Elephas maximus indicus: one gene and its partner. The protein of the gene in region 1 purifies or fractionates together with the protein of each later gene. This does not show direct contact. Links are inferred from orthologs where the notes say so. Each region holds a gene or a part of one and is shown in the gene's direction. Other genes may lie near its edges.

Region 1 (3,743 bases):
ACACCCACTTTCTTCAGGAGCTGCTTCACACCCTGCTGTGGGGTTTGTTCTGAGGCCGGTAGCTGCTCCCGCCCTAGGCGAAGCAGCGGCATCCTCCCGTTTGTCGCTCACAACTGTCCTGTGAAGTGGGCATCGGGCCCTCATGTTGCAGAGGAGAACTGAAGCTTGGAGCAGTCGAGTCACATAGGAAGGAAGGGTCGGGCTGAGACCCAAACCCAGTCTTCCTCCCACACCACTCCCTGAGCCACAAGGCACAGCTTTAACTCGAAGCTCTCCTTCCTTGAACTCGTTAAACGAATGTTAACCGAGCACCTACCGGGACAGGTGTGCGAGCCGCCCGAATAAGTGACATGGAGGTGCAGCCCCGACCCTAGGCCGCCCCCGCCCGCCCCGGCCGGTGCAGAGACGCTGGGATCCAGCCCGAGTCCTGGGGCTCATGGAGGGGCGGCGACGCCCGGTGGGCCTCGGCAGGGACGTCAGGAAGCCGCCACGGTGCAGGGATGTCTCGCGGGCGGCTCCCACCACTCACCTGGGGCGCCCACAGCGCCGTTCGATTCAGGGCCCAACGCCGCCGTTCCGAAACCCAGCGCCTAAGTGTCGTCATCAAACTGCGCGTGATGTTACACCCCCAGCCCTGGCCAGGCGGGAAACGCGCTGCTACCCCTTCAGGAACCTGACTTAAAATGCGCGTGCGCAGAGGTAAGGCCTCCTGAGTTTGTGGGCGTCCGCCACGGAATGCGCGTGCGCAATGGGGGCGTTTGAGCCCTATACGCGGGAGCTCGTGCGCCATCTCCCTGGCCAGGAGTGCGCGTGCGCATAAGCAGAGGTCGCTTATTAGGCCCACCGAGGAGCGCCTCCTAGTGGTGAACAGGCACCTAACGATTACATGTGGCGCAGAAGACGTAGCAAGCGTTTATTGAGCGCCTACTATGTGCTCGACACTGGGCTGAGCGCTGATACTCGAACAAGCACGACCAACGCAGTCTAGCCCGGAATCGCCCAGGAGCGGATCCGGGCGGTTCATCTTGGGACCCCCTAGCCGATGCACAATAGGCGCTTAATAAATGCTACGGGGTCGGATGGCGGCACGGACGGAGTCCCGGCCCCCCTGCCCTCGCAGGTTTGGCGGCGGAAACGGCCAGGAGGGGGCGCTGTGGCGCGGAAGGCGGGGCCGAGGCGCGGGCGCCCAGTGCGCGCGCAGTTCCCGCCGCGCTGATGGCGGCGCCGGGCTCCGGGCCGGGGCAGGGGCCGCCGGCGGGGCTGGAGGCAGCCCTGCAGAAGCTGGTGCTGCGGCGAAAGAAGGTGCTGAGCGCCGAGGAGATGGAGCTCTACGAGCTGGCGCAAGCGGCGGGCGGCGCCATCGACCCCGACGTTTTCAAGTGAGCGGGTGCGGGAGGCTTGGCGCTCGGCCGACCCCGGCTCCGCTGGCCTGGAGGAGTCCCGCCCTTAACTGGCGGCCACTGTAGGGATGGGGTCCTGCGGGCGCGCCGAGCAGGCCCGGCCCCGGCTAGTGGGCTCACTGCGCCCGCTTTTTTGTTCTCGCCAGGATCCTGGTCGACCTGCTGAAGCTGAACGTGGCCCCGCTTGCTGTCTTCCAGATGCTCCAGTCCATGTGTGCCGGGCAGAGGCTGGCGAGCGAGCCCGCGGACCCTGCAGCCCTTCCTCTGCCCGCGGCCAGCGTGCCTGAGACTCGAGGTCAGAGCTGGGGCCGCCGGCACAGGGAGAGGGCAGGACGTGCGTAGAGGCTTGGCGCGGAGCGGCCAGACCTTTCTGTTGGTTTTGCTTCTGGAGCCGCAGGGCCCATTGCAAGGGCTTGCTCCGTGATCGCTGCTGCCCTCGAGGGGGCACCTCCAAATCTGGGGTGCTCGGGGAGGGTGCCCCAGGGCAGCCCAAGCAGGCCAGCGCTCCTCTGGACCCTTTGCATCCCCAGCACTCTTCCCGCCTCTTCTCTATACCTTCATTTCACAAACACGGGGGACAAGATGGTTTTGGTCCCTGTCCTCGGGGGGTGGGGCAGGCAGAAGCTTTCCTGGCACCCCCTTGCTCATGCCGCACTCCAGCCCAGGCCCTTCCTAGGGGTCTGGACTGCAGGGTGGGGGCCTACAGTGGCCCCTAGCTTTTCTAGAACATGCAGCACTCCCAGCTTGCGGGGATGCAGAGGTGACTGTGGGGTGCATAGGTGCTGGAACCACAGTGCCTGCTCCAAATCACCCTCCGTGTGTGTCGTTTCTGCCCCCCGTGGCCATTGGAGACTCAATGAGACTCAGTAGAACTTCCCAGGCAAGTGACAGGGGTCCAGGGCTTCCTCCCTGCCCAGAGGCCTGTGGGCACTGCACGGGCGTCCTGGGAAGGGGCTGGTGTCTGGGTGGTGGGAGTGCAGGGCCCTGGGTGCCTGCGCCCGTCCTAACAGGCCCTGGGCACGTGCGCTCCAGCCTCCACACTGACCATGCTCTGTCTGCTCTCTTTGTGTCTCTCTCCGACCTCCAGAGGCCTCCCTTCTCTCTGCCAAGAACAGTAGCCCCCCTGCAAGGCCCTCCTTTCCCGCGGCCTCTCCGGTTCTGCTCCACGGCCCGGCTGCCACGCTCTCGCCTCTCTCTCCGGGGCCCCCTGGTTCCCTCCGGTTCTCTTGCTGCCTGTTCTCTCCTTTTGCAGGTTGCGTTTATTGGCTTATCTCTGGGGGTTGGTGCTCTCATTTCCGTGGAAACGGCTGTGGCCCCAGCCGGCCAGATCAGCCTCAAGCTGCAAGGGCAGTACCACGAGCCAGCCGTGTCACCGTGTAGACACAGAGGGCACGATCTCAAGGTTAGAGATGACCTGCAGAACTTGTAGGCCATGCATTCAGACAGGTGTTAGGGGGAGGGACCTGCACCCCCACACCTCCTAGCTAATCCCGCTAGGTGTTAGCTAGGTGAGACTCCAAGGGATGACAACAGGCAGAGAAGCAGGGAGAGGCCTGAGGACAGCATGGGTGCTGTGGCAAGCACAGCCTTTGGCCTGGACATGCTTCAGCCTCTCGGAAGCTGTCACCTGGACAGGCTCCTAGGCCTCGGGGAACCTCCCGGAGGGTGAGGTGGAGATGCTGGTCCGTCCCCCAATTTCCCTGGCAGTGGTGCATGACTGACTTGTGCTTGCGAGTCCCCTTTCCTGCCTGGTGTCTGAGCCAGGCTACATTCCAGGCCTGGTGGTGTGATGAGACTGGGGTCCTAGAGCCAGGGGGTGGTGAGGGCCTGAGGTCCCCTAGGGTGCTGGTGTTGTGCCTCCCTCATGCCCCTCCCCGCATCCCCACCTCGCTATTGCAGGTGCCACCGGAAACTCAGGGCATGGCTGTCTCCCACACCTCCCTTCTTGAGGCCCTCCCCACAGACCAGCAGCCACCCTCCTGTGCCTCACTGCTCAGGCCCAGGGAGGTGCAGGGAAGGCCGATGATAGGAGCAGGAGTGGGTGGATTGCCAGGCTTCGATGAGGGAGCAGAACATTGCCTTGGGCCAGGGCATCCTACTTCTTGGAGGAGACAGAGTACTTATGCTTTGTAAACCTGGGTGCTGGGCACAGTAGGGAGGCAGGATGGACAAAGAGACAGGGGTGGCAGTGGGGCCAAGTCCAGTCCTGGGCAGCTCTGCTGGAGTTCAGGGGTTAAGCTGGGGGAGGGATGGTCAGCAGGGCCACTAGGCAGGCTTTCAGTACCAGCTGGAGTGGCAGATGTCACCCTGTAACCCTCCAGGGACTCTCCCTGCCAAATGTGG
Region 2 (3,743 bases), on another chromosome or scaffold:
GTACAACTGCACCCCACAGGGTCTCCAAGGGCTGCGGTCAACTCTAACTCACCGCACCCCCATGCATCAGAGCACAGCAGTACCCCACAGGGTTTCCAAGGGCTGCGGTCAACGCTAACTCACTGCGCCCCCCTGCATCAGACCGTAACTGTGCCCCACAGGGTCTCCAAAGGCTGCGGTTTCGAAAACAGATTGCCAAGCTTTTCTGAGGCGCCTCTGGGGGGACTTGATCCCGCAACCTTTCAGTCGCAGCTGAGCACATTAACCGTTTGCACCACCCAGGGGCTCTTCGGGTAAAACTGCCCCCCCCCCAACACTTTCAGACTCACCCATGCGCTCCTACTGGAAAACCCACACGCCGCCCCCCGACCACTGCCGACCCAGGCGCTCCTACTGGGAACCCACACGCCGTCCCCCGACCACCCGGCAGCCCGGTCCCGACACACGCGCTCCTACTGGGAACCCACATGCTGCCCCCAACCACCTCGCAGCCTGGCCCGACCCACGCGCTCCTGCTGGGAACCCACACGCTGCCCCCAACCACCCCACAGCCCGGCCCCGACCCACGCGCTCCTACTGGAAACCCACACGCCGCCCCCCAACCAACCCCGCACCCTGGCCCCGACCCACGCGCTCCTACTGGGAACCCACACACCGCCCCCCGACCACCCCCGACCCACGCGCTCCTGCTGGGAACCCACACGCCGCCCCCTGACCACCCCCGACCCACGCGCTCCTGCTGGGAACCCACACGCCGTCCCCGACCCACGCACTCCTGCTGGGAACCCACACGTTGACCCCGACCACCTGGCACCCCGGCCCCGACCCACGCGCTCCTACTGGGAACCCACACGTTGCCCCCGACCACCCGGCAGCCCGGTCTCGACCCACGCGCTCCTCCTGGGAACCCACACGCCGCCCCCGACCCAACCGTTCCTGCTGGGAACCCACACAGCGCCCCCCGACTACCCCCGACCCACGCGCTCCTACTGGGAACCCACGCGCCGCCCCCGACCACCCGGCACCCCGGCCCCGACCCACCCGCTCCTGCTGGGAACCCACACGCCGCCCCCGACCCACCCGTTCCTGCTGGGAACCCACACAGCGCCCCCCGACTACCCCCGACCCACGCGCTCCTACTGGGAACCCACACGCCGCCCCCGACCATCCGGCAGCCATGCCCCGACATGCGCACAACCTCTGACCCCCGCGCGCCCCGTGTGGCGGGAGCGCTGACTCTCGCGAGAGCCGGAATCTCGCGGAGGCCCGAGGCCGAGTCCGCACCAATTATCGCGAGAGGAACTGTAACCTCGTCAGACCCAGCCTGTGGCTCCGGCGCCGACGGCGGGAGGGCATGGCCGGGCCTCGGCCGCCTTGGAGCCGCCTGGAGCGACAGCAGGAGCTACAAGTGCGCGAGCTGGTCCGGCGAGTGACAGGCCTCCAGGACGAGGCGGACCCCAACTTCCAGCTCGCCCAGCACTTCGCCTGGTCCAACTTCAGGTGTGGTCCCCGCCGCGCGGTGGAGCCCCGGGTGCAGCCCGAGGGAGCTCTGGGCTCGGCGGGCGCTGCCGGTGGGGCCTGGGTGCCTGGGTGGCGGGGTGGCCTCGAGGGGGGCTCGCCGGTGCCCCCGTGCCCCTGTCGCGGTGACGTTCGCGCGCTGCAGCTGCGCCTGAGCCGCTGAGGTCGGCCCGCGTCCTAGGACGTGCGCCCCCGGACAGCGGGTCTGCCTGTCCTGTTCCCTGGGGTTCCCTGCGCTCGGGGGGTGAGCCCTTACGGGAAGACAGGATCGCACCCTGCTTGGAATCGTGCCCTCACTGGCTCAGTCCAGATCTGCCTCCCTCTGCGCTCCTTTTTCCCCCAGAGTGCGCACTGTAACGCGTTGGAGAATTTATCTGTCGTCCGCTGTTTGTATCGCCCACCTCCTGTGTAGGGTGGTACCTCCCTCAAGATAGGAAATGCGCGCCCCAGCACCCCCACCTCCAGTTAGAATGCAGATTCGACGAGGACAGGGACCTTCATCAGTTTTGATCATCGCTGTGTCCCAGCACCTAGAACAGTTACTGGCACAGAGTGCCCAAAGTCGCCGAATACAGCTTCTAATACAGCTCATCTAATTAACTTTTAATTAATTAAATTAAAGGTTTAATCATCTTTTAAAGATTTATGCAACTTAGATATTTAGGTTGAAGTAATCTTTATGGAAGATGTAAACTAGACAATACTGTTATGATCATTACCTGTAATGGAATTATTACTCAAAGATGAGTTAGTCAATGTTAATATTCTGTTTAAATTGAGTGAAAATCTTCTTGAACACTAAACAGTTTTTCAAAAATTATAATTTTGATTATTAACTTCAATGGTCATAAAGTGCCTAAACCACAGCCAGTGAGTCAATTCCGACTCATAGCAACCCTAAAGGACAGAGTAGGTCTGACACGTAGGGTTTCCAAGGCTGTAAATCTTTATGGAAGCTGCCACATCCTTGCTCACATAGAGTGGCTGGTGGGTTCAAACTGCCTACCTTTCGGTTAGCAACTGGGCTCTTTAACCACTGCACCACCAGGGCTCCTCCGTAAAGGGCCTACTTGGATTATAATAAGAATAGAGGGCTTCCAAACCCACGAAAGCATGCCAAGTTTCTGCAGTAAACTAAATTCTTAAATTTAACTTGTAGAAATAACACAGTGTGAAGTAGCTCATAGAAGACAAATTTAAATTCCCTGTCCCAAATGACTTTTCTATTAATATTTATAAATGGTGGTAGGTAGATGCCTTTTTAGAGTTAGGAAAGGCATTAGAAGTTACTGTCTTCTACAGATGGAGAAACTAAATTATGGTAGGTAAAGTGGTATTCCCACACAGCCAATTACAGGAATAGAATTAGATGTGGTTTTTGGTAGTATAATTTGCTTCTTATTTTAAGTACTGATTACTGGCTTTGATACTAAAAATGAAAGAAAAAGTAATTTTATGATGCTTTAAAAATAAACAATTCACATTTACATTTTGAAAACTGTGGCCATGTTTTGTTGTTATCCTTAGTCACCTGCTAAGTCCATTCTGACTCATGATGACCTGATTTAGGCCCGAGAAATTCACAGATAGGTAAAATATATCCTCTATCCTTGAGGAAAGGGGCCCTAGTAGCGCAGTGGTTAAGTGCTCGGCTGCTAAGCAAAAGGTCAGTCTTTCGAACTCACCAGCGGCTCAGGAGAAAGATAAAGATGTCTGCTTCCGTAAAGATTACACCTTGGAAATCCTAAGAGGCAGTTCTACTCTGTCCTGTAGGGTCACTATGAGTTGAATTGACTCAACAGCAATGGGTGTTTGGGTTTATCCTTCAGGAAGACAGAAACAAATCTAACAATTATAGCCCCCACCCCCCCCCAAAAAAAACTCAAAAACCATACCCATTGCCCTTGAGTCAATTCCAACTCATAGTAACCCTATAGTGTGAAGTAAAAAACCCATTGCTTTCAAGTCAGTTCCAACTATGGCTTCAAACTATTTCATTCTGTTTCAAACCGCTGCTGCAAATTTGCATCTCCAACAAGTTCCCGGGTCGATGCTAATACTGCTGGTTAGGGACCAGTTCTGAGAACCAGAACCGCTAGGACTGTAGTGGTTCTCAAAATTTTATCATACATAAGAATTACCTGGGGATCTTGTGAAACTGTAGATTCTGATTCCGTGTCTCTGGGGTGAAAGTGCATATTCTCAGCACGGGTTAGAACTGGAAC

Evidence for each region. The genes of interacting proteins can lie anywhere in the genome.
Region 2: the proteins of mitotic-spindle organizing protein 2B (region 1) and TUBGCP5 purify together in Homo sapiens (affinity purification with mass spectrometry; 3 studies listed by BioGRID and IntAct, counting the BioPlex papers as one, with this or other methods). This does not show direct contact. The link is inferred for Elephas maximus indicus from reciprocal best matches to the Homo sapiens genes MZT2B and TUBGCP5.

What each region holds. Positions count from the first base shown.
Region 1 is NC_064840.1:21,597,504-21,601,246, reverse strand, and holds the start of mitotic-spindle organizing protein 2B, read left to right. Parts: upstream 1-873; 5' UTR 874-1,215; coding exon 1,216-1,379; intron 1,380-1,546; coding exon 1,547-1,695; intron 1,696-2,487; coding exon 2,488-2,652; intron 2,653-3,743. Other genes in the region: SMPD4 (sphingomyelin phosphodiesterase 4), read right to left, coding at 530-604. UniProt on the Homo sapiens protein: Required for the recruitment and the assembly of the gamma-tubulin ring complex (gTuRC) at the centrosome.
Region 2 is NC_064831.1:105,971,170-105,974,912, reverse strand, and holds the start of TUBGCP5 (gamma-tubulin complex component 5), read left to right. Parts: upstream 1-1,304; 5' UTR 1,305-1,354; coding exon 1,355-1,500; intron 1,501-3,743. UniProt on the Homo sapiens protein: Component of the gamma-tubulin ring complex (gTuRC) which mediates microtubule nucleation.